Linked DNA regions of Oryctolagus cuniculus. The protein of the gene in region 3 interacts with the protein of the main gene of each other region in a pairwise test. Links are inferred from orthologs where the notes say so. Each region holds a gene or a part of one and is shown on either strand. Other genes may lie near its edges.

Region 1 (7,624 bases), on a different chromosome or scaffold from region 3:
TCTTGTCCACAAGCTTAGACTCTGAGGTCAGGCCAAGGGTGTAGATCTTGGGACACAGGAGAAGGCCTGGGGGACCTGAGAGCCTGCGGTGGGAGACTTTTGAGTCTGCCTCTCCCTCGCTGGGCCACCTGAGCATGGAGTGATTGCCCTCTCTGAGCTGTAGCTTCCTCTGTGCAGGCCGCACAGGAGACCTGGAAGAAGCTCCTGGCTCCTGGCTTTGGACAGGCGCAGCCCTGGCCATTGCGACCATTTGGGGAGTGAACCAGTGGATGGAAGACCTCTCTCTCTCTCTACCTCTCTGTAACTCTGCCTTTCAAATAAATCAATCTTAAAGAGAGAGAGGAGATGCCAAAGCGTCCTGAGGCTTGCTGGCCCGGGGTTCTTCCAGCCGCACAGTTGGGGTTGCTGAGCGGGGAAGGCACTTGGTGGGGTAGCCGGATCGCCCCAGTCTGAAGCCTGGTGCTTCCCAGTTGCCTTCCACATTAGATTCACAGGTGCCAGGGGCCCGGGGGGAAATGAAGTCTGGGAGCAGATGGTCTGGGACTCCACAGCCTCACCCGAATCCCTCCAATGCGGTTCTCCCCATGGAAGGCCTGTCCGTCCTTGAGCCAGCGGATGGTGGGCATGGGGTTGCCTGCGGCTGGGCAGCGGAACTTGATGGTGTTCCCGGCAGGCACTGCATGCAGTTTCTTCTCCATGCGCTGGGGGTGTGTCCAGTATGGAGCTGGGGGGGGAGGAGGTGGGCGTACTGAGTGCCCCCCACCCCTCGTTTCAGTGACCAGATGGGGCGATGTGGACACGAGTCCTGGAAGCCTCACACCGACCTTGCTGAGGGTAACTGTGCCTGTTCGGGGAGCCCCTGTGGGCCTTGGGGTCCTCAGGATCGTCACTGGAGACCGAGGAGTCTGTGTCAGGGACAGAGCAAGCATCTGAGGACCAAGAGAGGGAGTCTCTCTCCCCGGGGACCTCAGCCGCCCCCGCCAGCCCCTCTTACCATCCACAGCCAAGGTGAGATTGTGCAGGACCGTCATGGAGCCTCGAGCCAGGCAGAGGTAGCGGCCGGCATCCTCGGGCAGGAAGCTGGCAATCTCCAGGCGGCCCCTCCAGCCCCGCACCCGGCCGGCAGGTGCTAAGCGACTGCCCTCCTTGTACCAGTGGCCGCCCCGCTCAGCCCGCCTGCAGCACAGCCGCACGGGCTGCCCAAGGGCCACGGTCAGTTCCTGCTCGGGCTGTTCCAGGCTGGGGGCTGGGCAGGGTTCTGTGGGCCGAGCACAGAACGCAGTGAGCCCCGCCACTCCGATGGGAGGCGGCCCCCTTGCGTATGAAGAACATGCTGCCCACGTGGGGCCCGGGCACCCAAGGACACGTGCTGGACATGCCACTCCTCCGCACGCAGCTGTGGGCCCACGCCACAGCGCCGAGGTGGGCCACACGCACACAAGTACTTGGCACGCATGCTGGACATGCTACACTCGGGACACACGTACACACACATACACAGACACTCAAAGGCACATGCTATACGTGCCACACGTGCTGCCTGGGCCGCCAAGCTACACACTGATGCACAGAACACACACACACACACACACACACACCCACGCAGCCAAGCGCTCACCCCCGGCTCTGCAGCCCAGCTGAGGGCCCAGCGCCCTGCAAGGCCCGTCCTCTGGAGCGCAGTGATAGATAGTGGCCGCTTGCTGGGAGCCAGACACAGAGTCTCAGAGGCTGAGGCCTGCCCTGCCACCGCCTTCTCAGGGCTTGGGCTGGGACCCTCTCCGGCTCTGCTCAGCCAGCAGCCCCCTCCCAGGTTCACGCTTCCCACCCCTGCGACCCTCTCCCACCTTTGGGGCCATACCCAGCTCCACTTCCTCAGAAGCCTCAAGGGACAAGGCTGGAGCCCCAGGTGCCCCCAGCAGGACCCCCAGCAGGGCCAGTAGCACCCACATCTTCCTGCAGCTCCCAGGACTCAGGCTGGAACTCCTGGAACAGGGGGCAAAAAGAGCAGCTGCCACACGTGCGTCTGGGCCAGCGCTATTGCCCTATTTTGCAGATGAAGAAACTGAGGCAGGTTGGTCCAAGCCCCTAGCCCGGCTGTGGCAAGGCAGAGACTGGAACCAGCTCTGTTGCTGCTGCCGCTGCCGGAGCCCAGGGCCTCCCCCTGGTTGCTGGTGCAGGGGGAGCTGGGCTCGGCTTCCTGCTCTGCCTGGGTCCTGCTGAGACCCTGGCACAAGTTCACAGAAAGAGCAGTTTGGGGATTCTTTCCTTGGAGCGAGGCAGAGAATGGAGAAATATCTGCTGTTCGCTCTCAGCACACATAATTTACTTTTTGCTGAATAAAGAAATTTATTGCTGAAGAGCCAAAAAAAAAAAAAAAGTGAAATGTGATAGCAGGCCAAACGTCAGCAGCTGCATGTTGTTGGGGCTGACCCCTACCCCTAGGGTATTCCTGGCACCCATGCCTAGCAACTGGGTGCTTGCACCAACAAGGCAGCACTCCCCACGTGGAGCAGGGAGAGGGCCTCATTCGGAAGCCCCGCAACCCCACACAGGAGTTTCTGTAGACTCTAAAGTGTCAGCACCAAGTTCAAGTCTCGGCTCCCACCAGCTTGCAAGTCCTGGGCTGTCCCGCTCCAGGCTGTTTTGAGATAAAAGCGGTGATATATGTGGGGACTAGGCACGTGGCATACTGGCATGTCCTCCCCGCCCCTCTTGTCACCTGTCACCCTGGTCTGCCCTCAGCCGGTCAGCTCTGGTCCTGTCAGGTACGAGGTGCACACCCATCTCATTTGGTCACTTTCTTCCCAGTGCTACTGAGCACGTCTCTGTCCCCCCAAAGGAACACTCAGAACCAAGCAAGGGGACAGGCTGTGGTCCCAGGCAGCCACTGGCTATTCCCTGGGGCTGGGTGCCAGCCAGGTGTCAGTGGTGTCTGCAGATGCGCCTTCCTGGAAGCCCACCACATCTCTCTGCAGCCGGGTCCCCCCCTCCCAGCCCTCTCTGTATTTCCTGTCCCTCCCCGGGGCAGGCCACGGTGGTGTCTGCTTGGGCCTTTGCAAACCTCCTCTGTTCTCAGCCTCTGCAAGGGCTTTGGGAAACACACGTCTGTCAAGTGCCCCCTCCGTCGGTTAAAGGCTCCCTGCACCCTGCAGGAAGCAGTCCCCGCGGCTCGTGTGTCTCCCAGGCCCCCTCTCTGCCCTGGCCAATCTCCCTTCACGAGCACGGAACCCACCGCCTTTCAAAACCCGGCGCCTCCGTGCCCTTCATCCCTCTTCTCCATCCCGCTCAGCTCTTTCTGTGACTGAGCCCAGCCCACCCCAGGGCTCCGCAAAGCGCCCCCTCTGCCTCGGGGCACAGCTCCGCGGGCAGTGGGGTGGGGACGCCTGGGACCCCAGGCTGCCCTGACCTCCCAACCTCAAACCTTGGCCGGGTCACCGCGGCGGCTGGCCACCCGCCCGGCGCGTGGGACCAGAGCTCCCGACTCCAGCATCAGACGGTCCCGGGTTATCCAGCCTCCGCACTCCCGCGCCGGAGGGCCCTGGGCCAGCGCTGCACCTCTCCGGGCGTCGGCCTCCCCTGCTCTGCCGCCCAAGGACAAGAGCGCTCTCCCCACCCGCCCGGCCACCTTCGGGGGGAGGTGCGAGCCGAAGGGTCCCCCTCCCCCGGGAGCTGCACCCGCCCCCGCCCGGGTGGGCAATGAGTAACCAGCTCCGTGGCCACGGTGCTCTTTGGACGGAGCGGGACAAAAGGCCCTGTGTGCGCTGTGGGTTACTGATTTACCGCCCTTCCACCCCCGCGCCGAGAGGACGCCCCCGTGCCGGGAGGGGGCAACCCCTGGACCCCGCCGTCGCTCGCCCCCTGGCGGCAGGGGGTGAAGTCCGGGCCCGCACGGGTCCTGGCTCACCTCGAACCTGCGTGGCTCCGCTGCCCGCACCAGGGTCCTGCTCACCTGGTTCCCCCGCGCCTCGCTCCCTGCTCACCCGATCCCCGCGCCCGGCGGGGCCTGCAGATAGCCCCGGCGCTGCTCCGCCCGCGGCGGGAGAGCCAGGAATAAACTCGCTACAGCGGCGTGGCCGCGGGCAGCTGCCCAGCCCCGCCCCGGCCCCGCCCCCGGCCGGTAGTACCTCTCAGGGGCGTGGCAGGGCTCCGCAGCCACGCCCACCTAGGTCCCAAAGCGGCGACCCAGCATCACCGCCAGCCGGCCAGGGCCAGCCTGGCTACTACAAGCCACCTCCTCCGGCCCACCCAGACCCCTGGCGGGGCTTCCAAGTTCTCGTCCACTGCCCAGCCGTGTCTCCTGCTCGTCACCCCTCGGGGAAGGAAACATTGACCCTAGCCTTGCTCCGCCATCTCTGTGCAGTGGACTGACTGCCCCACGTCCGCTCATTTGGCAACCTGCACAGTGACAGTTCTTTCTAGAAAATATTTATTTATTTATTTGAAAGGCAGAGTGACGAGAGAAGGAGAATCAGAGGTCGTCCATCTGCTGGTTCACTCCCCAAATGGCAGAGCCAGGAAGCCAGGAGCCTGGAAGTCCATCGGCATCTCCCACGAGGGTGGCAGAGGCTGGGCCATCTTCCACCTGCCTTCCCAGGAGCATTTGCAGGGAGCTGGATTGGAAACAGAGCAGCTGGACTTGAACCAGTGCTCTGATTTGGGATGCTGGTGGATGTAAGCGGTGGCTTAAGCCATGGAGCCTCAACTCCAAGTCCAGAGTGATTTTTTAAAAGATTTATTTAGGGGGCCAGCGCTGTGGCATAGCAGGTAATACTGCTGCCTGCGGTGCAAGCAGCCCATGTGGGTGCCGGTTTGAGTCTCAGCTGCCCCACTTCCGATCCAGCTCTCTGCTATGGGCTGCCCCAGCCTGAGAGATCTGGAAGGGAGGAGAGGAGAAGAGGGAGGAGGAGGAGAGGGGAGGGGAGGGGGAAAAGAAAAGAAATCTCTCTTTTTGGCAATGTGGCAATGTAGTTTATGGTTTTTAAAAGTATATTTATTTATTTATTTATTGAAGAGACAGAATTACAGGGAGAGAGAGAGAAAGGTCTTCCATCCCCTGGTTCACTCCCCAAATGGTCACAATGGCCAGGCTGGGCCAGACCAAACTCAGGAGCCAGGAGCTTCTTCCAGGTCTCCCATGTGGGTGCAGGGGTCCAAACACTTGGGCCATCTTCCACTGCTATGATCAGGGAGCTGGCTGGGAAGTGGAGCAGCCAAGATTCAAACCAGCGCCCATATGGGATGCTGACATCTCAGGTGACTGCTTTACCTGCTATGCCATAACGTCAGTCCCACCTGAGTTATATTTTAAATACAAATCTGACTGTTTTATCTTCCCCTTTAATTTTCCAGTAGCTTCTCACAAAATTATATATAGGTTTTTAGCATAACCTGGCCCCTGCCCACATCTCCAGATTGAACCTTCATGCCCTTTTATCTTGCTCCCACCCTGCCCCTGGGCCTTTGCATGTGATTTCCCTCTTCCTGGAACGCGCTGTCCCGTCTTGGTCTGGTGAAGTCTGTCTCCTTCTCAGGTCCTGCTCCTCTTGCTTCTTCTGGGAGCACTGAGCTCACCGGGTGCTGCAGAGCTGCCTTTTCCTGAGTGATTCAGAGCACAGCTTGCAGCACTGGGCTGTGTGCCCTCACCTCTCAGCACTGTCGCACACAGCCTTGGCGGGTCCCTCCATCCCTGTCTTCATCCTGTTGGCAGGAAAGTGGTAGCTGATAGCATCAACCTCAAGAGGTTGTTGCAAGAAGCAGACCTGTGGGTGTGTGCAAAGCCATCATCCAGCATTTGCTTTGCAATGCTAGCTGTGATTACTTCTTATTTTTTTAAAGAATTATTTTATTTATTTGAAAGACAGCATTACAGAGAGAGAGAGGTCTCCCACCCGCTGGTTTACTCCCCAGATGGCCGCAATGGCCAGAGCTGCACCGATCTGAAGCCAGGAGCCAGGAGCTTCTTCCGGGTCTCCCACGTGGGTGCAGGGGCCCAAGGACTTGGGCCATCTTCCACTGCTTTCCCAGGCCATAGCAGAGAGCTGGATTGGAAGTGGAGCAGCCGGGACTCGAACTGGTGCCCATATGGGATGCCAGCACCGCAGATGGCAGCTTTACCTGCTGCACCATTATGATCACTTTTTGATCTGGGATTTCTTCATATTTGCCAGTATTGTAGCTGAACCATCAGGAATGTAAATGATTGTGAAGTGTTCCCTCTGGGGAGGCAGGAGCTGTGCCCACGGACCTGGCCGCCGTGTTAAGTGCAGGGTACACGCAGGTGCCTCCCAGATAGCTCCACTCTCGGTGTGCTCTGGTCGGCCTCACCTGCAGAGACCCATGCTGCGGCCAAACTAGAAGGCCAGGCACCCTCTGACCCTCTGACCTGTGACCCCTCACCTGAGACGAGGCCCTCTCCTCCCCCGCAGGCTCTGGGAGAAGCGCAGAGGCGCTGCCCGCTTAGCAGCTTCCGTCCGTATTGTCATGCGAGAGTCCAGCTCTTCCCGGCCTCACTCCGAAGGCGGGTGGGGGAGGAAGGGGCATCTCTTTGCATAACTAAAAGGCCCATTAATGCAATTTTTTGTTTTTCCTTTTCAGACAAAGGAACACCCTCTTCCCCAAAGATAAACCGGAAAAGAACTGGTTCTCCTTTAAAAACAGTTTGTCAGAATCCATCCCCAGCCCCCGGCCTGGCTGCAGTGCCCCGGGAAAGATGAGACTCCTGCCTTGGGGCGCTGCCCTCCAGGGAGGGGCCTCACCAGACCCCAGGTTCCCAGAGAGGCCCGGCTCTCCATCTTTGGTCCCTTAGTAAAGAGGTTTGTGGGGGACAGAGTAAGCACCAGCAGCCGTCCGACCCTGCCCCGCGGCTGGCGCTCACAGACCAGGGCCTTTCCCAGCTTTATCCGAGCCCTGCTAGCTCACGGTATGTGAGCAGCCGCCTTGTCTCCCTGGATGCCTACCCCTCAGCTCCCAGGCCCCAGCCCACGCCCCCAGAATGTGCCCCCCGCCCCCCTCTGCTCTGCCCCCTCCCCACACTCACAGCCTCCCACACTGGTCCTGTGTACAGTCTGATGCGCTGCCCCCACGCTCAGCCACAAGAATTTGCTGAAAGCTCGCGGGCCCCCCGCTGCTCTGAATCCCAGGGAGAGAGCAGTGAATTGGCCACCCTTCCCGGAGCTGCTGGCCCTGGCGTGGGGGCAGTGAGAGGCGGCCCGGCCTCCTCTCCCTCACACTCTCACTTTCTTGCTAACACTCTCACCAGCCAGGCTTGCAGCCTCTCTCTCAAAGATTTCTCTCTCTCTCTCTCTCTCTCTCTCTCTCTCTCTCTCACACACACACACACACACACACTCTTGCTTAGCAAAGGCAAGACCCTACCATCCTAAGATCCTGCCTTTAGCCTGTCTCTGCCTCAGTTTCTCCTTCCAGAAAAATGGGTGCACTCCTGCGTCTCACTTCAGGGATTCTGGGAAAATGCACAAGGTAGCAGATGGTGAGTTTCACCAGAACAGGAAATTGGTAACACGTACAGCATTGGCTGGGTTCCCACTGGGTGCCAGGTGCTGTGCTTGGTGTTGTCTGTCCTTTGACCTTTTCCCCAGGACAAATGGTTTATGAAGCCTTAGCC
Region 2 (7,020 bases), on a different chromosome or scaffold from region 3:
GGAGCTGGTTTGCAACGGGCAGTGACCTCGCCTGCGTTCTGAGGGTCCAGTCGGTGTCTGTTGGCTCCAGCGCGTGCTCACCTGGGTCCGCGCGTGCTTGCAGAGCTATGAGAAGATCCACCTGGACTTCCTGAGGAGCGACCACCCCGCCGTGGCACGCATGCGTGTGGACACCGACAGCGCGTACCTGGGCGTCACCTACAAGAACGAGGAGGACAAGCTGAAGGACTGGGAGGGCGGCCTGGACGAGCAGAGGCTGAGCGCCGACAGCGGCTACATCATCCCCCTGCCCGACATCGACCCCGTGCCCGAGGAGGACGAGGAGGACGGGGGCAAGCGCAACCGGCACAGGTAGGCAGCCCCCAGCGCTGCCGGCGCCCCTCGCGCCGCCCACCGCCCCCAGCACTGCCAGACCCCGGGGGCTGTGCGGGGGGAGGGGGGTCTGCAGGAGCCGTCAGCCTGCCGAACGCCGGGGGGCTGCATGGCTTTGAAGATGCGCCCCAGGGGACTCCGAGGCGTCTGCTGGGGCTGGGGCTGGGGTTGGGGGCGTGTGTGTGTGCATGCGTGTGCATGTGTGAGTGCATTCTTGAGAGTGTGTGTGCATCCATGTGATGAGTGAGTGCATGCGTGTACATTTGTGTGTGAGTGCGTTCATGAGAGTATATGTGTGTGCATGAGTGTGCATTCATGAGCGTGTGCTTGAGTGTGTGAGTGCATCCATGAGAGTACATGCATGCGTGTGCATGCGTGTGCATGTGCGCATTCTATGAGAGTGCACACGTGTGTGCATGTGGAGTGCATTCATGAGAGTGCACATGTGTGTGCATGTGGAGTGCACTCATGAGAGTGTGCATGCGTGCGCATGTGTGTATGCGTGTGCACACGAGTGCATTCTTGAGTGTGTATGCATGTGTGTGCGTGTGTGTGAGTGCATCCATGAGAGTGTGAATACATTCATAGGAGTGTGTGTGTGCACCTGCATGTGTGTGTGTGGGGGGTACTTCCCCAGTGGGTCCAGACCTTTGACCTGAGCCCTCGGGGACCTGGTCAGTAGCTGCTGTGCTGAGCGCAGCCTGTGCCGCTGTCTGAAATGGGCCTGGAGCTGAGGGGACGGATGGAGGAGACGGATGGAGGGAGGTGGCTCTGGGGCCTCTGACGCACCCCCGTGCTTGCCACGCCTCCGAATCACCTGGCAAGGCTTTCTGTTTATCTCCTTAAAAAAATTATGGGGGCTGGCGCTGTGGTGTAGCGGGTAAAGCTGCCACCTGCAGTGCTGGCATCCCATACGGGCGCCGGTTCGAATCCCAGCTGCTCCGCTTCCCATCCAGCTCTGCTGTGGCCTGGGAAAGCGGTAGAAGATGGCCAAGTCCTTGGGCCCCTGTGCCCACATGGGAGACCCAGAAGAAGCTCCTGGCTCCTGGCTTCAATGTGGCCCAGCCCTCTCCCTCTCCCTCTCCAATTCTGCCTTTCAAATAAATAACAAATAAAATAGAAATAAATAAAAATAAACAAAGCATTCTTGAATTCTTAGTCCTCCTTTGAAAGGCAGAAGGGCACAGACGCAGAGAAAGAGAGAGAGGAAATATGCTCCGGTCCACTCATTCACTCCCCAGATGTCCCAGTGGCCGGAGCCGGGCCAGGCCGAAGCCAAGAACCAGGAGTTCTACCTGGGCCTCCCCTGTGGGTGGCAGGGACCCAATCATTGAGCCTCCCAGGGCGCACAGTCGCAGGAAGCTGGAACTGAAACCCAGGCGTCCATACGGGACATGGCCATCGCAGGCGGCGTCTCAGGCGCGCACCGAACCTGCACCCGAAACTCGCCTGGAGTTCCGTTTCCAGCCAGCTTCCCGCCTGGATGCGTTAGTTCATTATCAAGACACGCAACGGCATGAGAACCTTGGTTCCCGGCGCCCAAGCCCCAGGCGCTGATCGTGGCCTGTTTAATTAAGGTCCACGTGGCCCGGGGTCCTTTTCTTTCCTTCCTGCCTGCTCGTTCCGTGAGCTGCATGCAGGAGCACGTGGCGTGGTCGGGGCCCTCGGCACAGCTGCCGGCAGCCCTTGTTGATCTGCGTGCACCCGGTGATTTTGCAAAGTACAGCTTTGGCTTCTTCTATTTTGGGAATCCTCGACTGGGGGATGCTGTTTTACTGTGTGTTTATGTTCCTTTAGTAAACAAACCTGGGGGTCTGTGTTGGAACGGGGGCGCCAGGGGGAGGCTGGGTGGAGGCCTGGGGGCTCTCTCCCCTTGGAGGCTTTGTGTTTGGGGGCTCTGAGGCAGTGTGCCCCAGATAACAGCCCCAAGTCAGGTGGGACTGTAGCCCTGAACCGCAAGACGAGCTGGCCCTGGGTGAGGGCATCCCAGAGCCGGGGGGAGCTTTGGGCTCAGCTGGGCAGTCAGCCCCGAAGTCACCTCCTTCTAGGCTCAGGACATTGACCTTGGGGAGGGAGTGGGCTCAGGGGCACTGGCCACTGGGTGTGGGCAGCTGGGCGAGCCGCGGGAATGGGCTGGTACTGGGTCTCGGGGTGGTCAGTCCTCCCTGCCCACACCCCTGTGTCCTCCAGAGGAAGAGCAGGGTCAGGGCCTGGCTCGGCAGTGCCCATCCCAGCGCCCACGGCTGGGCTGGGTCCACATCCACATCAGGTCCCGGGCGAGGGGCCGCCCTTGGACGGTTGTCGGGATCAGCAAGTGGATGGGATTCGGAGGCTCAGGACAGGTGTAAGTGCAGGCAGAGCTGAGGCCTAAGGAACCCGCAGCCCGGCAGCCTCCTGGGGCCCAGGAGGAGTCAGGGCCGCAGGAGTCGTGGGTGGTGGCCGCCGTGTTCCCCAGCAGGACGTGAGCTGTGGGACTCAGTTCTCTGCTTGGCAGGGGATGGGGAAGGGAGGGGACCCTGTGTCCTCACTGCTGCTGGTCCCACGTTGGACAGGGACCTCCTCGCCGGCAGGTGATAATCTGGAGGGGCAAAAAAGACCTAACGTGGACAGCAGCGCAAGGCAGGATGGCGCTAAGACAAGAGGTCTCGGGTCACAGGTCACAGGTCACAGGTCGCAGGCTGGGTCTTCAGGGAAGAAGCCAAAAAAATAGTGCATGAGCCTCCCTCCCACTTAGATTGCACAGTTGTTGGCAGGTGTTCAGCTCTGTGTGGCATAGGTTATTGCGTGTCAGTCACATAGAGGGGACTCCAGAAATGGCGCTGGAGATAAGCTGTTTTTGGTGCCGAAGTGTTGGAACCCACGCGTGGTGTGTTCATGAGGCACGCCCCCTGCGTGCGTCCTCACGTTTTGCTAGTGGTTGAGTCACTTGGAACTAAGTAAGGGACACCAGGACATGGCTCCCACGCACGTGCCCGTGAATAACACCCCTGCCCGCGCCCGCCGTGCCAGCCCCCTGTGCTGCGCGTGTGGGCCCAGCTCAGCCGTGGGTGAGAAGACAGGAGGGGCAGCACCCACTGCCGCGTGCCCTGCCCATGCTCGGCACTCACGGCTGGTATCTTGCTCATCAGCCGAGCAGGCGTGCTGTGAGCGTCCTTGGCATGCCCTTCGTGTAGGCAAGGAGGTACGTTCAAGTTCATCAGGCGGAGGGTGCCACCCGGGGGAGTCCACTGCAAGGCCCCCCCTCCCCCTCTCCAGGAGGCAGAGAGCCTTCCCCTGGGAGGTCCGGACTGGGAGCCCTGGGGTCACAGGGGCAGGGGGCCTCCCGGCACACAGGCGTCCCTGTCCCCAAGAGCAGGTGGCTGGCCCGGCTGCACCGCCCCCAGTGCCTCCCTCTGCTTGTCATTCCCGCTGCCTTGTGTTTGTGCATTGCTGGTTTCTCTTCTGCTGGGATTGAGTAGGGAAGATGGGCTCGGTGGCCGCCGGTTGGCAGTGCTGAAGGAAGGCGGCCGTGTGTGTGAGGTGGGCTGCACGTCCCGCCCCCTGCTGTCCACATGGCCCCACGTGGCGGGAGGGGCGGTGCTGGGCGCCCCCTGCAGTGCGGCTGCGATGTGCCCGGTGCTCAGCCTCGTGCCCTCTGTCTCTAACCTCCAGCTCGCAGACCTCGGAGGAGAGTGCCATCGAGACGGGTTCCAGCAGCTCCACCTTCATGAAGAGAGAGGACGAGACCATCGAGGACATGGACATGATGGACGACATTGGCATGGACTCCTCGGACCTGGTGGAGGACAGCTTCCTGTGAGCCGCAGGTCCCCGCGCGTTCCCGGAGCTGCCCTGGGATCCTTTTCAGAAAACCACTTTATTTGCAAGGCAGAGGTGGAGAGGACGACGTGGGGGATGCGGGACGAGGAGGCCCTGGCCCGGGATTCTCCGGGGCGGGGCAGGGGGAGCCGTGTGACCAGCCTCGGAGGGGGAATGGGACGCTTGGAGGTGGACGCTGCTGGCACTGCCTCTGGATTCGCCAGCCTCGGCGGCGTGGGGGGTTCAAGGGCACGGTGGACCCCGGGAAGTGAGCTCTGGGTCTCAAGTCCACGTGCACAACCGGAGTCGCACTGAAGTTGCAGTGTCGCTGTTATGTACATAAATCTGAACGCAGCCCTGGTGAGAGATGCGTCCGTCTCCTCTGGACTTCTGAGACACCACTCAGCCCAGCCGTGTCTTTCCCTGTCGGAGCCTGGCTGCCACTGGCTCTGGACTCCCAGTGTTGTACAAAACCACTTCGGAACCTTCAAAGGTGCTGGTCTTGGAGCATCTTAGTCGTGCGTAGCGCAGAGTCATTAACCAGCCTCGTTTAATAGACGTGTGTCGTTTAGAAGCCCCAAGCCGCGTTTTCGTATCGTAACCTATGTTTGTAATCATACTACTGTCATTAGTGATGCTAAGTGTGTAACACGTAACACGGGCTCCTGCCCGAGAAAGCACAAGTTAAAAAACAAAAAAAAGAACCCTAAGTAGGTGACAGGTTTGCAACTTTTGACACTTTCTTTTTTTAAAGAGCTTATGTTTCCCCATAAATGATGTTGATCACCGCAGTGGGTCGGACATCAGAGAACAAGGTCACAGTTGTCCCGGAAGTCATGGACTTTGGTTGTGTACAAGTCGCTCCCCCTGCCCGCGGTACTGAACGGGACGAGAGACGAGCCCAGGTCCCCGGTGTCAGAGTCCCCCGGGCCGGCATCACCCTGAGGGAAAGAGCAGCAGAGATCCTGTCTGGCCTCAAAGAGAAAGTGCTAGAAACCCGAGGCTGGGAGTGGGGGTGGTGGTGAGTGACGGCCGTGTGTGTGTGCCCCGGCTCTCTGGCCCCCAGGGAGCTGGCAGCCCGGATCTGGAGTTGGGAGTGGATGGGCAGCCGGCACCCGTGTTCTGTTCTGATGAGCCAAGTTTCAGGAGTGCTGGCTTGGGTTCCTGGGGGTTGCCGTGGGAAAAGCAATGATTTGCAATTTGGAGCTGGGCTGGAGGGCCACCATGCGGAAGCCTGCTGTGTAAGTCCCCGGCGCCTGGCTGTGCGTCCAGATTGCTACCCTCAACTTAATCCAGCCGGCTCAGCTGAGGGTCAGGGTCAGGGTCAGGACACTGGGCGTGGGCAGGTCTTCTTCAAGGTAAGGCCACTGCTTCTCCCTGCCTGGAGGGGACGGACCGGCTCCTGCCCGCCCGCACCCCCAGCCCGTGGACAAACACCTATAGAAGTGATGCCACTCACACTGCTGCCTCTCTGCACAACGAGGCCAGCATTTTGCTCCAAGAGGTGAACCATTTCACTGCTATACCGGGGTTAGACGGGACGATGCACCGTGACTCACGCCGGCCAGGGTGGGTTCATGGCGTTCTCGGCCGTGTTGCTTAATTGCTGACACCCAGGGCGCGACACGTGCCAGGTGCGGGAGCCACCCCGAGGTGCTTTCTCAGCCACCCTCTGCGTGGCCAGTGTGTGCTCTGAGCTGGATCGGCCAGCTAACAAGCTGACCGGGTTCTGTAGCACCAGCGAAGCCTCTGTGTGGCTGGAACCGCAGCTCGGGGGTCCTCGCTCCGTCACCTGCCCCTTAACAGTCACTGTTGTGGCCACTCTGGTCATCGAAGCCCCAGGCTTGCACGTCACCACAAGACTGGGTGCAAATCCGTGGCCAGGCTGAGCCTGGGGCCGCATTGTTAGTTTTTGCTTTTTTTAAAAAAGTGTCCCGTGTATCTCCAATCTGTGTCCCGTTTGCTTCCTGCAAAATCCCCAGAGAAAGACAATTGGCCACTGCTTCCCACTCTTTGATTTTTTTTTTTCCTGATGACAATCAAAGCCGGCGTGGGCGACGCAGCGTGCGGCCGTGCCCGCGCCGTGGTCTGCCCGCGTGCACAGAGCGGTCCTGTTTGTCTGAGAGGGACTTGTGATGCAATGATGTTATACATCGATGTGTACATATGTGTATCTACGTAGGCCTGCAGAATACTGCCAAAACATGTACGACGAGCTGTCTCACTGCCTTTGTTTATATTTTTTTAACTGTGATATTCCCTATAGGCACATTAACTGCTGCACTTTTGAATGTCCAAAATTTATATTTTAGACATAATGAAGAGAAGAAGACTTAAGGTGTTCCCCAAACAGTGGCGTGGAGAGTGTGTGAGGACGAACTGGTTGGGGAGGGAGGGTCTCCCAAGACAAAATGTGTTACAGATGCCCCCTGCCCCATGCCCGTTTTCATTTTATGACATGTAAATGAAGATCTTTATATTTCAATAAATGATATGTAATTTAAAGTTACGCCGAGTCCCTGTTTTTAGTTTAATCCTAAAATGAAAGCCAGGGCAGCCGTCAGGTCGCTGCTCGGGCCGTCCGCGTCACAGAACGGAAGGTGCCTGGGTTCGAGTCCTGCTCCCACCTGGGAGGCAGCAGGTGGGGGCCCTGCTGCTTCAGGTGCCGTCTGTGTTGGGCTTTTTGGCGGGTTTTGGAGTTCAGGCGTGGCTGGGGCGTGCTGATCCCTGGGCCGGGCCCCTGAGCTGTCCCGGATCCAAACTTGGCGGCTCGTCTTCCGTGTCAGCTGTCGGTTCTCCTTCTCCGCCCCGTCCGAGCCCTGTTCTGTGTGTCCTCCAAACGTTCTGCAA
Region 3 (7,788 bases):
CCCTGGGCCATTGTTTAGTCACTCGTAAAACAGGGTGACAACCACACCCTCCCAGATGCCGGGTGACCACGAAGGCATAATGAGAGCGTGCATGTAATGTGTGTGGCACGCACAGGCCAGGGGCCCCCACGCACCAGGCTTCCAGAATCCTGTGGGGTCCTTGCCAGACCTTCCGAGAAACATGGCGGAGTTTGGGCCTGGGGTCCTGGGGAGCTTCAGGCTGTGGCCAGGTGCAGGCGTCTGTGCACGCCAACCAGTTGAAGCCCCTTCCCTCGACCAAGGCCCCGCTGCCTTCGTCATTACCACGTCTCTTAAATGGGCCAGGGCAGAGCCAGGCTGGGAACCTGGCAACCAGGGTAGGGTGCCCAGTGCCAGCGGCAGGAGGCTGAGCCAAGACACAGACAGGCAGAGGACAAGCGGGGTCGGGGCATGCCCTAAGCCCTCGCTTGGCTGTCCCGGCCCTGATGCGGTACGTCCTGCCCAATGCCAGCCACACTGCCCCATCCCTGCCCACCTCCCCCAGGCTCCATCCCCAGGAAGCCTGCCCGGCACTGGGCATGCCCGCCTCAGCATAAGCCTTCAAGGCTGGTGGTACCAGTGCCCGTCGGGGGGCACCTTCCAGCTGCTCCCCCTGTGTTTCTCCCCAGGGACCCCTGCTGAGACCCTGGCCCTCTAGGCCAGGCACCCAAGCTGGGCCTGCACCTGGGCTGCTCACCCGGCCCGGGCTCCATGCAAGTGTCCCCCATACTATGGGGCTGGCCCAAGAGGATGCATCCCAACTGCCCTCCTAGCCAAGGTTCCCCTGTTCAGCCTTGGAATGCCAGAGATAGGGCAGAGGCAGATCTGCGGGCTCAGGAAAGCCCAGGAGGCAACCCTACCTCCAGCCTAGGCACCAGTGGGGTAGGAGGCGCCAAAGCCCAGGTTCCACCTCCACTTCCTGCCTCTGTGGGCAGAGGGCAACCTTGCTGTGACCAGAACCTGACACGAGGCAGGAGTGGAATGCAGCTGTCTGCACCCGGGCAGCCAGGGTCCCCTGCACCCATTCTGCAGGTCAGGAAACTGAGGCCTGTCCTCGCTGAAAGCTGGGCCCAGGGAACGTCAGTCATTCAGAGTGCAGGGAAGGGACCAAGCGCGCGACTCGCCCAGTGCAAGTAGGGGCAGAGCTTGGAACTGAGCCTGAGCCCTTAACCACCGCCGCCACCCCACCCTCCCGCCCCATCGTCCCTGCACCGCGGCCGCCACCGGCTGACCCTGCACGGCCTCCAGCCCTCACTCTCCGAGCCCCCAGCTGCACGGCTACGCCTCAGGAGTCCCCTGGGCCAAGGGCGGAAAACAGCCACAGCCACCTGCTTCTGCTCCGTGAGCAAGAGGAAGCGGAGCCCCTTTGCCTGACAGAGGAAGTTCTTGGGTGAGCAGCCCAGCCTGCAGTCCAGGACGGGCCCCCTCCGGCACCCCAGCTCAGGGCCGGGTGCTGCTGGCGGGGCCCAGGCAAGCAGCCCCGTCCCAGCCAGCAGGCCGGTGGGCAATGCCCCTTTAAGCTGCAAGCAGCCGGCTGGCGTGCCCGGTGGGTGAGTCAGCGCCCGGTGCCCGCTGACTCACCGGAAGCCTCCACTGCCCCGGCCCTCTCACCACACAGGGCTGATGGAGAACTTTGCTCCTCTCGGGCCCAGAGCCACATGCTGGCTGATAGAGAGTTTCCTGTGCGTCACGACAGGGGTGGGGGAACTCCCCAAGGTGCCACCTTCCAGTGTTTCCGACAGCCGGGATTGGGGGACAGGGCTGTGCAGCGGGGGGGCGGGGGGGGACAGCAGCCCCAGCAGGCAATACTCTGCAGTTTCAGGGTGCCCTGTCTGGCAGCCTCCCCAAGCGGCCGAACCCAAGACGGGAACAGCCAAGGACAAATGCGGCCCGTAGACCCAGACCACGCCGACCACGTGTGTCCCAGCACCAGCTGCCCGTGACCTCTGACCCCAGCCGGAGACAGCACGTGGGCCGGGAGGCCAGGGCCCAGGCCCTGCCCAGAACACAAGCAGGACATCCACTGCAAGGCAGGAAGTTCTGAGGTAAAAGCTCTCAGGTCACCCAGCAGCCACTCCCTGCTCTGTCCGAATTCCCTTGAGCAGGTCGAGAAAAGCTCCATGCTGGGGGCCTGGGGCCCAGGAATGGGGGGGGGGCATACGAGGCAGGCCTTCTGCTCTGTGGCCTCAGACCAGCCACTCCCCACCCCACCCACCACCAGACCTCAGTTTTGCATCTGCGAAATGGGCTGGCTTGCGGCAAGCAGTCAACACTCCAAGTGCACGGGGCAGTGCACAGGATGGGCAACACTTCTGCCTCAGCCCACCCTCCAGGTCCAGGAGGGACGCGGGTGAGGGTGGGGGCGTCCCCCTGGCCAAGGCGAGCACCCAGCACAGGAATGGGACACGGGACCCCTGGGGAGACCACCATGGACACAAACGGTGCTGGGTGGAGAGCTAACTCGCTCTGTGACACCTTACAGCTGTGACACCAAGGTTCTGTTTCCTTATCTATGGAGGGCCCCTGACCCTCCACGCAACCCCCTAGGTAGGCATCATCTTGCTCCCTGGATCCCCAAGGCAGAAATAAACCCAGGGCAGGGGGTGGCCCCAAGTCACACGGCACCTGGAGCATTCTTGTCCCTTCTTCCACAGCCCTGCAACCTCAGCGGTTTATTCTGCCCTGCCTGGAAGGGCTGACACGGCTTCAAGATCAACACGGCTTCCCACCCCTTCCCGACCCTCTGGAGCCGAGGAGTGTCTGATTTCCCGGTTCCCAAGCTCCACAAGGTCTGTGCGTGGAGCAGGGCCCTCCCCGGCCACCTCCCCGGCGCGAGTGCCTGCTGAGTTACTCAGAGGTTGGGCAATGCTGTCGGGGATCCGGCCTCCGGCTTACGTAAGCCGTAATTACCCTGCCCACCCGGCTCCAGCCCACAGCCACCGCAGCCACTGGCAGCAGGGCCCAGGAAGGGCCCACACCCTCCCCAGGACCCCTCCAGGGAAGGAGGGGAGCAGAGGGGACAGCCCCTGAACAGGCACCCACTAAGTGCCCAGGCGCCCCCCCCAGGAGACTTCCCTCTTGCAGCCGCATGGCTGAGGTCTCTCCAGCAAGGGGGGGGGGGGGTTGAAAACGGCAACAGTAACGCTTGCAACAGCTACTCCCTTCCTGCACACCTACTGTGTGCACCTACTGTGTGCAGCTGAGCAGGCGCCTTGCTGGCTTGTGCACCTGCTGACCCCCTCTCTCACGTCACACGTCCCTGTCCACAGAAGTAGGTGTGACTGTCTCCCACCCCCCATCTCACAGATAAGGAAACAGACCCAGAGCCCGTCATGGGGCTCCCCAGGGCGAGGCAACAGCAGGTTCACAGAGCCCATTCATTACAGCCATGTCCGGTTTGGAAACCCCTCCCACCACCCAGCCTACCGAGACTGGGGCACGCCAAAAACATGCTCTCCTCTTCCTGAAAAAAAAAAAAAAAATTCCCCTTTCACCCTCCAAGTCTCATCCACCGCCCTCTGCATGACAAATGCTGCCGCCGCAGCGGCCACCGCACAGAAATTTCCCGGAAGGCCAGTGGCTTGCAAGAGACCCTGTGCTGAGCAGGCACCTCTGGCCCGGGGGCTGGACCTCCCCCCACCTCCGGCGTCCAGGCGGCTCAAGGCCAGCCCAAGTGCAGGGCGAAGCTTGCAAAGTCAAGACAAGAAGGAGCAGTCGTGGCGGGGGGCGGGGGGGTGTCCCGGGGAATGGGGCTGCCGGACGAGGGTCCCGGCGTGCAGGGGTTCCAGGCTGGGGGAAGACAAGACGCGAAGCCCCGAGCGCACCTGCCCCGGCAGGACGAGCGAGGAGCCGGGGCCCAGGCGCGGAGTGGGAGAGAGACCCCAGACTCGGCCCTGGGGCCGGGAGCTGGACCCGGACGGGGGGGAGGGGAGGGTCCTGGGGGCTCCTTCTTGGGTCCGCTTGTGGCGGGAAGCCCGGGAGAGATTCCAGGAGGATGGAAGGCTGGGGGCAGCCCGGCCACGCCTGCAGGCGCACTCCCCAGAGGTGGCGGCGAGGCTGCGGCCCCGGGGCGCGCTGGGGAGCTGCGGTCCCGGGACCGTGCAGAGGGCGCGCCTACCTTTGGACTGCGGCACGCCGGCGGGCTGGCCGGGGGCGGGCGACTCCATGCTGCAGGCGGGCCCCGGGCGGCGGCGGCGGCGGCGGCGGGCGGCTAAGCGAGCGTGCGGCGGACCCTCACGGGCCCGGGCGCGGCCATAGCTGCGGACGGGCGGCCCGCGCGAGGCGGCGGCGGCGGCGGCGGCGGCGGCGGCGGCGGCGGCGGCGGCGGCGGCGGCGGCGGCGGCGAGGACCCAGGCGGCCAGCAGATCCCGACTGCGGCGGGCGGCGCCGAGGCCCGGCCGGGCGACGCCGCGGGGGGCGGGCGGGGCGAGCCCGGTCCCGCGGTCGGATTGGCCCGGCGGTCTCCAGGGCCCGGCCCCTGCCTATCAGTGCTGGCCTCGGACTGCCCGTCAAACACGAACCCCGCCCAGATCCGGCCCCGCCCCTCCTCGGGAAACTCAGGCCTCGGCAGGCTCCGCCTCCCGCTGCCTGTCAAGATGCAAGCCACGCCCATGCCGGGGGGGGGTGCCCGCCGAGCGCGCGCGTCCCGCGCTGGGCCACGCTCCCAGCTCCGCAGCCCCTTCGGCGCCCCGCCCCGGGCCCCCGGGCTGTTCGCGGGAAGGAGCCAGAGGACGGTGGCGTTGTCGGTACGTTCTGCTCAGGGGCAGTCCGGTGCCCAGGTCGCTGCCTGGCGCTGCGCGGGGCCCCTGGCCTCGCTTGGGCCTCCAGCTGCCGGACGGCCGCGCCCTCCGTCTGCTCCCGCACCGAGCCTCGTGGCGGGGTCGTGGCGGGGTGGGGTGGAGACCTCAGAGGCCGCTGACCCACCTGGCCCCAGGCTTCAGGTTACTCGGGCCGGCAGAGGTCAAGAGGTCGCAGGCTGGCCTCCGGGCAGGATCTCACACGTGAGGGCGGCAGGTGCCACCCCCTACTGTGTGCACCGCAGGGGGTGATGCCCGCAGGCCGCACCCACTCAGGGGCGAGGTCCGGTGGAAAGGCGAGCCGCAGGCCGGCTCTGTGGCCCCGGAGCGGCCACCGCAGCTCCGTGCCGCGTGCGCGCCCCTGTCCCGGGTGGGAGCGCATCTCCAGCCACTCAGGCCTGCAAGCCCCCCGACCCCCGTGCAAGGACCTGGCAGTCTCCCCAGCCCGGGCAAGGCAGGACTCCACCTGGGCCCACTTCCTGTAGGAGGCCAGGCATGGGGTTCAGGACCCATCTGCAGAGTGGGCACCCAGCGGTGGCGGCCTCCCGGTCAGAACTAAAGCCCCATCCAGCAGGTTCTCTGCCCCAGCTTCCTCTCCTCCCGCCGGCACGCCCCTCCCCGCCCCGCGGGTATCCACAGCTGGGGGCTGGCCCTGGACCTGCCCACGCCCCTCATGCCTGCCACCCCCCACCAACACCAGGCTTCCCAGGGCTTGTCCCCTTCGGTGCTACTCCGATGCCTGCTGGGTGGCCAGCCCCGGTCAGGCTAATCCTCCACCCACGCCCCTGGTTCTGCCTCATTTTAGCCCTGCGCTCACGTGCCCTGCTGAGCGGGACGGCTTTGGGTCCCACTCCCTGCAGCGTTCCCACTCCACCCCCCGGCCCACTGCGGGCCCAGGGAAGCAGGAAAGGGTGGCATGGCCAGGGGTGAAGCGACTCTGGGCCCGGACCGGCCTCCGGGGCAGTAGGTGACTCAGAAGAGGTCCTCGCACGCACGTGGGGAGTTGATGGCTTAGTCAGAGGACCTGACAAACGCCCCAGGAATCACAACACTCCACGTGGGGTGCTGTAAACAGGTGCATGAGCTGCTGGACTCCACCTGGGTGGGGTCCTGGAAGGCTCCTCGGAGGAGGTGACTTGGCGACTGCTCCTCTGAGGACCAGTTAGGAGGTTGCGAGGCAGAGAAGCAATGGTGGAGGCCAAGGATTGGGGAGAGCGAGAGCTGGGGGCCCCCGGTCCTTCTTCTCTCACTGCCCTCCTGCCTCTCAGTGGCACGGCCAGGCCCAGGGGTGCCACGACCACTCAGAGCCAGAAGGTGAGTGACGGCAGGCTGCCTCTCACCTTCAGTGCCAAGCAGGCACCGGGAAACTGAGGTTGAGGTGGGCGGGACGTGGGCTGACAGAGGCCTGGAGAGAGGGCATAGGCCTGGATGCGGGCGGGCGGCTCATTCCGCATTCATTGCACAGACTTGGATCTGTGGGAGCAGCAAGGCAGGCAAAGCGGAGCGCCCGTTTCAAAGAGGTGCCCGGTGAGCAGAGCAGGGGAGGCAGGGGATGTGTTGCAGGCATGGGGGGTGGAGCTGATACGTGCAAGGCTGGGGGCCGAGAGGGGATGGCTGCTAGGGGAGTCTCAAAGAGACCAGGCACACGGTCCCAGTTCTCAGCTAAATGCACTCCTGAACTTGCTGATTCTCATGGGCTTGCACAGTTTCAACCCCATGTGCTGGCCGCAGTACCCAAGCCCACCGGCACACACACACACACACACACACACACACACACACACACACAACAGGGTGCACGCGTGTGGTCATGCACGGGCACGCGTGCAGTGGTGGACCCAAAACACCTGCAACAGCTGCGCACAGCTGTGTACTTGACTCTGCCACCAGCAGGGGCCGCCACGGCTTGCTGGCCCACAGCGCCCTCTGGTGGTGAGTCCTGGCACAGCCATGCTCCGCAGCACCGAACCCAGGACCAGCCAACACCCCCACCCTTCAGCTTCCAGGTGCCTGGGCCCCTGCCGACCGCGCACACCCCCTCGTGTCCAGCCACTCCCAGCCCAAGCTTCCTTGAGCCTCTCTTTGCAAAGGCTGCGCCCTCAGCCAGAAATCCCCTCCCCTACCTTCCCCACCCCTCTTCCAAGGATCAGTTCCTCTTGTGGACCCACTATGCTGCAGAGCACACAGTAGGTGCTTGGAAGACACTGGTGGAACACAGGAAAACTCACGCCATCCCGACAAGGTGCATCTGATTGCTTTCAGGTACGTTTACCTAATAATAATAAGAAGAAAACAGCGTGGCTCAGAAAGGTGCTGGAGTGTGCCCAGGGCCATTAGTGGCAGAGCTATGACTGACATCCTGGTCTGTCTCGTGAAGATGGCCCTCCCTACCCCTTCCTGCCACACACCCTTCTCAGCAAGACAGCTGCCACCTGGAAAGAAGCCAGCTCCTTGCCTCTGGCAGTATTCTCAGGGCCAGCCTGTCCCGCTCCCTGTGGGCTACACAGAAGCTCCCTGGGGTCCCAGCAGCCTCAGTCTTGGCACTTCCTGGCAACTTGATGGCCTGGTGAAGCCGGTATGGCTAGACCTTCACCTTACCCATTAGGCTTTGAGCCCAAGACTTGGAACAGCTTGCCCAGGTCCTGCTGCCGGGCAGGAGGAAGCCAAATTTTTACCCAAGTCATCGTGATAATTTGACGAGCCTGCTGTGCTTGGAGCTCATCCCGGATGGCTTGCGCTAGTTCCCTGGGATCTGAGCCTGTGGGGGTCTTTCTTACCATATTGCACCATGGAGTGCCCATGGTCACAAGGCAGCCCCAGGAAGAAAAGACACAGCAGCACACCTGGACAGAGCTGGCTTCCACCAGCTGCCCACAAAGTGCTGTTGTCCCATCAGAGCCAGAAGTGACCCTGAGCAAGTCACTCATCTCAGCCACACCTTCAAGGTCACCCACCCATTTTTATCAGTGCTCTG
Region 4 (7,642 bases), on a different chromosome or scaffold from region 3:
AGTCTGGCCAGATCAAAGCCAGGAGCCAGGAACTCCATCCTGATGTCCCATATGGCAGTGGGGACCCAAGCACTTGAGCCATCGTCCACTGCACATCTGGGCGCAATAGCAAGAACTTGGATCAGAAGCAGCAGCTTAACCCACTGCCCCACAACACTGTACCCTATCTAATAATTTTTGAAGAGGTCTTTGCAGTACACCATAGTCCTGACATCTTAATTTTATAATGCTTAAATTTCTACTTTTCTATATCTCACAAAGGCAATTAAAGGTAACATGAATTTTGTTAATTGATGATTTTAAAAGATTAATTTTATTTGAAAGGCAGAGTTAGAGAGAGAGGATGAGAGAGAGAGAGATCTTCTGCCCGCTAGTTCACTCCCCAAAAGGCCACAACAGCTGGAGCTATGCCAGGCCGAAGAACCAGGAGCTTCCTCTGAAGCTCCCACATGGGTGCAGGGGTCCAAACACTAGGGCCACTCTCTGCTGCTTTCAAACGCACATTAGCAGGGAGCTGGATTGGAAGTGAAGCAGCCGGGATTGGAACTGGCACCCATATGGGATGTCAGCATCACAGGCGGCAGCTTAACCCACTGTGCCACAAAATAGCCCCTAATTCACGATTTTAAAACCATAATTTATATAGATCAAAATTATATATAAAAAAAATTTCCTGTCAGCCTTACAAACCCAGTGCTCCCTACTTTACCTTCTATTTCATTCTCCATCCACAAAAAAAAAAAAAAAAAATGTACATAATAGCACAAAAAGAGTTCTGGACTAATGAGAAACTCGAAGGAAAAATCTATACTCACTACAGACTTATTCACAACTTTGGTTTGCACACTGACTTGTAAACTAAAGCAAACCTACTCTCTTCCCAAGTAGTCTTTTAGCCAATGCATTACAAACTGCACATCCTATTTAAAAAGTGTTTCTCAAGCTTTAGTAATCCATAGGTAAGAAAAATATAGCCCAAGATTTCCTGAGCCACCTATCCACCCACTTCTACTTGCCATTGGTAAGCAGAACTAGTTAAAATTGATAGAACATGACGAATGATCAATTCATGCAGAAAAAAGTCATCATCACATTAGAAAGTATTACTTCAATACAACTCTTAGAGACAGGATATCAGATCTTACTCTTCCTCTGATCCAGTACCACGTCAAGCCAGAATGAAAAATACAGAAGAGGGGCCGGCACTGTGGCGTGGCAGGTTAATGCCCTGGCCTGAAGCACCAGCATCCCATATGGATACCGGTTCTAGTCCTGGCTGCTCTTCTTCTGATCCAGCTCTCTGCTATGGCCTGAGAAAGCAGTGGAAGATGGTCCAAGTCCTTGGGCCTCTGTACCCGCATGGGAGACCCAGAAGAAGCTCCTGGCTCCTGGCTCCGGATCAGCGCAGCTCCAGCCGTTGCAGGCAATTGGGGAGTGAACCAGCGGATGGAAGACCTCTCTCTCTTTCTGCCTCTCCTTCTCTCTCTGTGTAACTCTGACTTTCAAGTAAGTAAGTAAATAAATAAATAAATAAATCTTACCAAAAAAAAAAAAATACAGAAGAAACAGGATCCCTAAAGACACTGAAAAACGACCAGCAATCTCTAAATTATATTCCAAATACAATTAACATGACCAAGCACTGTTATTAAGTCTAAGGATTAACTAAACTGAACCTTAGAAGAGTGGATTATTTTAAAAGTCTTTTGTAGACATAATGTAAAGATAAATCAAGAATTGTACGGAAACTTAACCAGTAATCCAGCAAAAATACAAACTAGAAAAAAATTTAAATAGGTATCATGTCCACAGTCCCTAAAATGATTCTAAGCAAAGGTGTGCTGAGGCAGTAAAGAATTCTGACCTGAAAACCATTTACTTTTTCACTGGGCACAGTAAATTTCCACCCAATGTCCCTCCATTCATGGATCTCGTTTCCCAAAATGCAATAGGCTTCTCAAAAACCTACAACACAGTTACAAGAGTATTTCAAAAAGTTGATGGAGGGGCCAGCACTGTGGCATAGAAGGTTAAGCCTTCACCTGCAGCGTTGGCATCCCATATGGGTGCTGGTTTGAGTCCCGGCTGCTCCACTTATGATCCAGCTCTCTGCTATTGCACCTGGGAAAGCAGCAGAAAATGGTCCAAGTCCCTGGACCTCAACACTCACGTGTAAGACCCAGAAGAAACTCCTGGCTCCAGATCAGCTCAGCTGTGACCAGTGTGGCCACACAGGGAGTGAATCAGCAGATGGAAGACCTCTCTCTCTATCTCTATCTCTAACTCTGTCTTTCAAATAAATAACTAAATCTTAAAAAACAAACAAACAAAAAAGTGATTTTCGGGGGCGCTGCGATTAACAAAGATTCTGCACCAAAAATGTGGTTTTTTTTTTAACATTTATTTTATTTATTTGAAAGACAGAGTTACAGAGAGAGGTAGAGCAGAAAGAGAGGTCTTCCATCCACTGGCTCACTCCCCAGATGGCCGCAATGGCCGGAGCTGTGCAGATCCGAAGCCAGGAACCAGGAGCGTCTTCCAGGTCTCCCATGTGGGTGCAGGGGCCCAAGGACTTGGGCCATCTTCTCCTGCTTTCCCAGGCCATTGCAGAGAGCTGGATTGGAAGAGGAGCAGCCAGCACTAGAACTGGCGCCGCAGGCGGGGGATTAACCTACTGCGCCACAGCGCCGGTCCCAAAAACATGTTTTCTTTTAAGACATGTAAGCTGATATTGATCAGCTAATGAAAATATGGTCAAGAGATTTTCATTCAGCTGGCTGTTGTTTAAAACAAAACAAAACAAAACAAAACAACCCCACCCACAGCTGGGAAAAAGCTTCTGACATATGCCCTAAAACTTGTTTACCCAGACCACTTCTTAATAAGAGAAATACTTTACAACTTGACTAGGGTTATATAAGTATTTTGCAATGTGTGATCAGTTTAAAATCTTGTTTATTTACTCCCTAGTTCACAGATAGATTATCTTACTACAAGGTCAGCTTTGCCATAACAGCATTTTTCCAATTTTATAGTTTCAGCTCATCACTCAGGACTTCCTCCAAGGAATTTTAGTCATTAATTTCATATCCTTTTCCTTTTAAAAATAATTTACAAGTTTTCTAATGATATTGGCATGTGCCAAATCATTTCTTAAAATAGCTCTGCTCCTAGAAACATGGAAAGACAGTAAATTTCAGCGATTCAACTATGATATCAAAACTTGAGTATTGCAAAAATAGTATTACATTTCCAGACATGAAAAAAAAATTAATGTTCAAGAAATTACACACAGAGATACACACAAACACATCTTCAGCCCTTTTTAAGGCTATCAAAGATTTGGATTTCTGGGAAAGGATAGCTTTTATTTTGCAAGGGAATGGCCAAGGTCAGGAAGATAAACTAGGCGCCCTAAAATGAAATGCTTCCTAAGGAGAAGTATCTATAACAGCGAAAAGGACTTGTACTAAGAATCAAAGATTTGCCATCTCCAGACCGGCACAGCAAGCTCCACCCCCAACACTTGAACATGACTGGTTAAATCTTTTTAATGTTCACTGAGAAATGGCATGGAACTAAACTTCGCAGAAAGAATGGTAACTGCTTCGACCTAGGCCTCACGAGATTTAAACCTGGGATTCTGGACGAAAGATCTCTCCTGACCCACAACCATTACAAAACTCGCCCTCATTAGCTCAAGACACTAGAGGCCCTTTTAACACATCAAGTTTCAAGGTATAGCCCCCGAGTGAGAAGGGGGGACCGGAGATACAGCCTACAGAATCTGAGCGTACAGTAGTCACACGATTTTAAAACTTAAAACCAAACGCTACAATGTTTGCAAACAACCTCCAACAGCAACGAACTCCCGTGTTTATGAATCTAAACTACTTTTAAAGTGCACCGAGCCACTCTGCCCACAGTTATTCGACATCCAGCAGCCTGAGGGGCCAGCGGGTTAAAAGAGGACCACATCACAGACCACAACGCCGCCAGCGGAGCGGAGGCGGGCCCGCCGAGCTCCAACCCGGCTCCCGCAAGGAACCCCCAACTCCCACCCGCCCGCTCCCTCCCTCCAGCCCGGGGCTCCCCGGTCCCCGGGCCCCTCCCCCAGGTCACTCCCCTCCCCCACCTCTCCCCGGCCGCCCACTCCCGCCCCAGCGCCTTAAACCCCCGCTACCGACCCTCTGCCCTAGATCTCCTCACTTGTCAGCCCCTTCAGCTCCTCCCCCTTTACAGGCGCCCCAGTCCTCCGTCTCCTTACCCGGGTTAGCAGTAGTCGCCGCCATGGCCCTAGATGCCACCGCCGCCGCGCCACCCCCCCAGTGGGAGGAGCCGCCGCCACCGAACGCCGGGGGGCGGGGGAGGGACGAGCCACTCCCCAGCAGCGGCGCCCTACTGCCGCCACCGCTACCGCGGAATCCAAGATGGCGGCTGCGGCAACCCCCGCCGTCCCCGGCCCAGTGGTGGCTAGGCCCCGCCCACTCGATGGGCCGGGTCATTCCTCGTCCGGCCTCCTCTGTGGGCACGGGCCAATGGAAACGCCAAGCCGACCAGGGGCAGGGCTGGTCAGTGCGCTAGGCCGGCCACTGGAGAGAGAGCGAGGAAGAAGTCCAGCTGTCTCCGTAATCCTGCCTTCCTTGCGTCAGAAGTCGGTGACCAAGTGACATCAGTGAAAAACAAAGTGTGTATTTTACTAAAAAGCTTCTCTTAGTGGTGGATTCAGCCGTGAGGTCCCCCTGCAGACTACTTTTGTGAATCGTCCTTAGGGATTCTAATACTTTTAACTTCTCATGTGATTTGTAGTCCTTGTTGGTGTTTTTTCTCCCTCTTTAAAAGACATTTGTCCCTGCCGAAAACAGTTCAATAGGTAATTTTTTTAATTAGACAGATCGCACCTGCTGGTTCACTGCCTTGTTGCCCACAATGTCTGAGACAGGTGTGGAAGAAGCCAGTAACAAACCGGGGCTCCCACGTGGGTGGCAGGAACCCAACTGCTTGAGCCATCTCTGCTGCCTCCCCGGGGTCTGCATTGGCAGGAAGCTGGAATCCGGCCAGCAGTGCAACCCAAGCCCTCTGATGTGGGATGGGAGGCTAAGTATCTTTGTAATGGTTAGACTAACCACTGGCCCCCACTCGCCCAATAACTAATTTTTGAATGCTTATTATTAAAGTGGTGATCTAAAAAGATCTCAGTGTTTACAGGCTGATAAAAGATACCAATAGCCAAAACTGCAGGCAATGGACAAGGAAGATACTTTGATTTAAAGTGCAGTGGTTGTTGTGGCAAGGCAGGTTAAGCTGTGGCTTGGGACACCTGCACCCTTTGTCAGAGTGATGGTTAGAGTCTCTGCTCCTCCATGCTTGTGATCCAACTTGCCTGAGAAGCAGCAGATGATGGACCAAGTGCTTGGGTCCCTGCCACCCATGTGGGAGACCAGGATGGAGCTCCTGGACACTGGCTTCCACCTGACCCAGCCTCAGTTTGACCATTTGGGGAATGAGCCAGTAGATGGAAGATCTCTCTGTGTCTGTCTCTCAGTCACGCTGCCTTTCAAATAAATTAATTTAAAGAAAAGAAAGCAGTGTAACTTTGTAACTTCATTTAGTCATAGGAACATAATGATACGTTTTTAGTAGGGGAGTGGTAAGAAGAGGACTTTACAGATTTTTTTTTTAAAGATTTTATGTATTTGAGAGGTAGAGTTACAGACAGAGGGAGAGACAGAAAGAAAGGTAATCCATCCACTGGCTCACTCCCCAGATGGCCGCAACAGCCGGAGTTGAGCCAATCCGAAACCAGGAGCCAGGAGCTTCTTCTGGGTCTCCAATATGGGTGCGGGGCACAAGCAGTTGGGCCATCTTCCGCTGCTTTCCCAGGCCATAAGCAGGGAGCTGGATTGGAAGTAGAGCAGCTGGGACACGAACTCGTGCCCATATGGGATGCCAGCACTGCAAGTGGAGGCTTATCATACTATGCCACAGTGCCGGCTCCTACAGGTTTCTTTTCTAATAATAAGAAACTGCCTGGGGCAGGCGTTGTGGCCCAGCGGGTTAACGCCCCAGCATGAAGTGCCAGCATCCCATATGGACACTAGTTAGAGACCTAGCTGCTCCACTTCTGATCCAGCTCTCTACTATGGCCTGGGAAAGCAGTACAAGATGGCCTAAGTCTTTGGGTCCCTGCCCCCATGTGGGAGATTTGGAAGAAGCCCTAGGCTCCTGGCTTCAGATCCGCACAGCTCCGGCCGTTGCAGCCAAATGGGGAGTGAACCAGCGGATGGAAGACCTCTCTCTTTGTGCCTCTCCTCTCTGTAACTCTGACTTTCAAATAAATTAAAAAAAAAAAAAAGCTGTCCAAAATCCTTTATACATATTTATTCAATACTCACAATAAAATAATAAGGTAGATCATAGTATTATTTCCATTTTGAAAATAAGGCAATAGAACAAAGAGACTTAGCAAAGGACACTCAGTGAGTACAGCAGTGGTATGGGAGGCCAGTTAAGATGTTTGAGTTCTGGGGCTGACATTGTAGTGCAGCAGGTTAGCTGCCGGGGCCACAAGTAGAGGCTTAGCCTATTATGCCACAGTGCCAGCCCCAAGTCACAAATTTTTTAATAACAGCTGGAGTAGGCCGGCGCCGCGGCTCACTAGGCTAATCCTCCGCCTAGCGGCGCCGGCACACCGGGTTCTAGTCCCGGTCGGGGCGCCGGATTCTGTCCCGGTTGCCCCTCTTCCAGGCCAGCTCTCTGCTGTGGCCCGGGAGTGCAGTGGAGGATGGCCCAGGTGCTTGGGCCCTGCACCCCATGGGAGACCAGGAAAAGCACCTGGCTCCTGGCTCCTGCCATCGGACCAGTGCGGTGCGCCGGCCGCAGCGCACCGGCCGCGGCGGCCATTGGAGGGTGAACCAACGGCAAAAGGAAGACCTTTCTCTCTGTCTCTCTCTCTCTCACTGTCCACTCTGCCTGTCAAAAAAATAAATAAATAAATAAAAAATAAATAAATAACAGCTGGAGTAAAAGTCCCTTCTTTGTGCTAATAATAATAGAATCCATTTTTGTTATTTCAAGTACACTTGCTCACATCGGAGCTATGGTTTGTTTTTTTGTTTTTTTGTTTTTTTGACAGGCAGAGTGGACAGTGAGAGAGAGAGAGAGAGAGAAAGGTCTTCCTTTTGCCATTGGTTCACCCTCCAATGGCCGCTAGGCGGAGGATTAGCCTATTGAGCCATGGCGCCAGCCCAGAGCTATGGTTTTGTTAATCGGAATGTTTTACATCAAGTTCTAAATGCCATGATTTTTTTCTAGCTCATGTTTTTTATTAACCAATCCACGATTACTTGTCTTTTGATTGGTTGAAGCAGTAAGTCACATGACATTTACCACAATCACATCTGTCAAAGTAGCTAGCCAGAGGGCGGCGCTTCTGCAGTGCCGGCATCCCATATGGGCTCTGGTTTAAATCCCAGCTGTACCACTTCCGATCCAGCTCTGTGCTATGGCCTGAGAAAGTAGTAAGATGGCCCAACTCCTTGGGCCCTCTCCCACCTGCATGGGAGACCTGGAAGAAGCTCCTGGTTCCTGGCTTCAGATTGGCCCAGCCCTGGACATTTCAGCCATTTGGGGAGTGGACCAG

Evidence for each region.
Region 1: the proteins of MAP2K3 (region 3) and FGFR4 come close enough for resonance energy transfer, tested with the Homo sapiens proteins (2 studies listed by BioGRID). The link is inferred for Oryctolagus cuniculus from reciprocal best matches to the Homo sapiens genes MAP2K3 and FGFR4.
Region 2: the proteins of MAP2K3 (region 3) and PDGFRA come close enough for resonance energy transfer, tested with the Homo sapiens proteins (2 studies listed by BioGRID). The link is inferred for Oryctolagus cuniculus from reciprocal best matches to the Homo sapiens genes MAP2K3 and PDGFRA.
Region 4: the proteins of MAP2K3 (region 3) and ARNT come close enough for resonance energy transfer, tested with the Homo sapiens proteins (2 studies listed by BioGRID). The link is inferred for Oryctolagus cuniculus from reciprocal best matches to the Homo sapiens genes MAP2K3 and ARNT.

Annotation. Positions count from the first base shown.
Region 1 is NC_091437.1:63,109,291-63,116,914, reverse strand, and holds the start of FGFR4 (fibroblast growth factor receptor 4), read right to left. Parts: upstream 4,086-7,624; 5' UTR 3,950-4,085; exon of another isoform or gene 3,905-3,949; intron 3,584-3,904; exon of another isoform or gene 3,415-3,583; intron 1,984-3,414; 5' UTR 1,950-1,983; coding exon 1,859-1,949; exon of another isoform or gene 1,845-1,858; intron 1,259-1,844; coding exon 995-1,258; intron 906-994; coding exon 825-905; intron 725-824; coding exon 558-724; intron 1-557. UniProt on the Homo sapiens protein: Tyrosine-protein kinase that acts as a cell-surface receptor for fibroblast growth factors and plays a role in the regulation of cell proliferation, differentiation and migration, and in regulation of lipid metabolism, bile acid biosynthesis, glucose uptake, vitamin D metabolism and phosphate homeostasis.
Region 2 is NC_091439.1:109,895,246-109,902,265, reverse strand, and holds the end of PDGFRA (platelet-derived growth factor receptor alpha), read left to right. Parts: intron 1-103; coding exon 104-351; intron 352-4,023; coding exon 4,024-4,171; 3' UTR 4,172-6,679; downstream 6,680-7,020. UniProt on the Homo sapiens protein: Tyrosine-protein kinase that acts as a cell-surface receptor for PDGFA, PDGFB and PDGFC and plays an essential role in the regulation of embryonic development, cell proliferation, survival and chemotaxis.
Region 3 is NC_091448.1:65,866,078-65,873,865, forward strand, and holds the start of MAP2K3 (dual specificity mitogen-activated protein kinase kinase 3), read right to left. Parts: upstream 4,423-7,788; 5' UTR 4,185-4,422; coding exon 4,136-4,184; intron 3,482-4,135; exon of another isoform or gene 3,470-3,481; coding exon of another isoform or gene 3,445-3,469; exon of another isoform or gene 2,673-3,444; intron 2,064-2,672; exon of another isoform or gene 1,791-2,063; intron 1,540-1,790; exon of another isoform or gene 1,347-1,539; intron 1-1,346. UniProt on the Homo sapiens protein: Dual specificity kinase. Is activated by cytokines and environmental stress in vivo. Catalyzes the concomitant phosphorylation of a threonine and a tyrosine residue in the MAP kinase p38.
Region 4 is NC_091438.1:47,194,489-47,202,130, reverse strand, and holds the start of ARNT (aryl hydrocarbon receptor nuclear translocator), read right to left. Parts: upstream 4,461-7,642; 5' UTR 4,293-4,460; coding exon 4,268-4,292; intron 4,209-4,267; exon of another isoform or gene 4,188-4,208; intron 1-4,187. UniProt on the Homo sapiens protein: Required for activity of the AHR. Upon ligand binding, AHR translocates into the nucleus, where it heterodimerizes with ARNT and induces transcription by binding to xenobiotic response elements (XRE).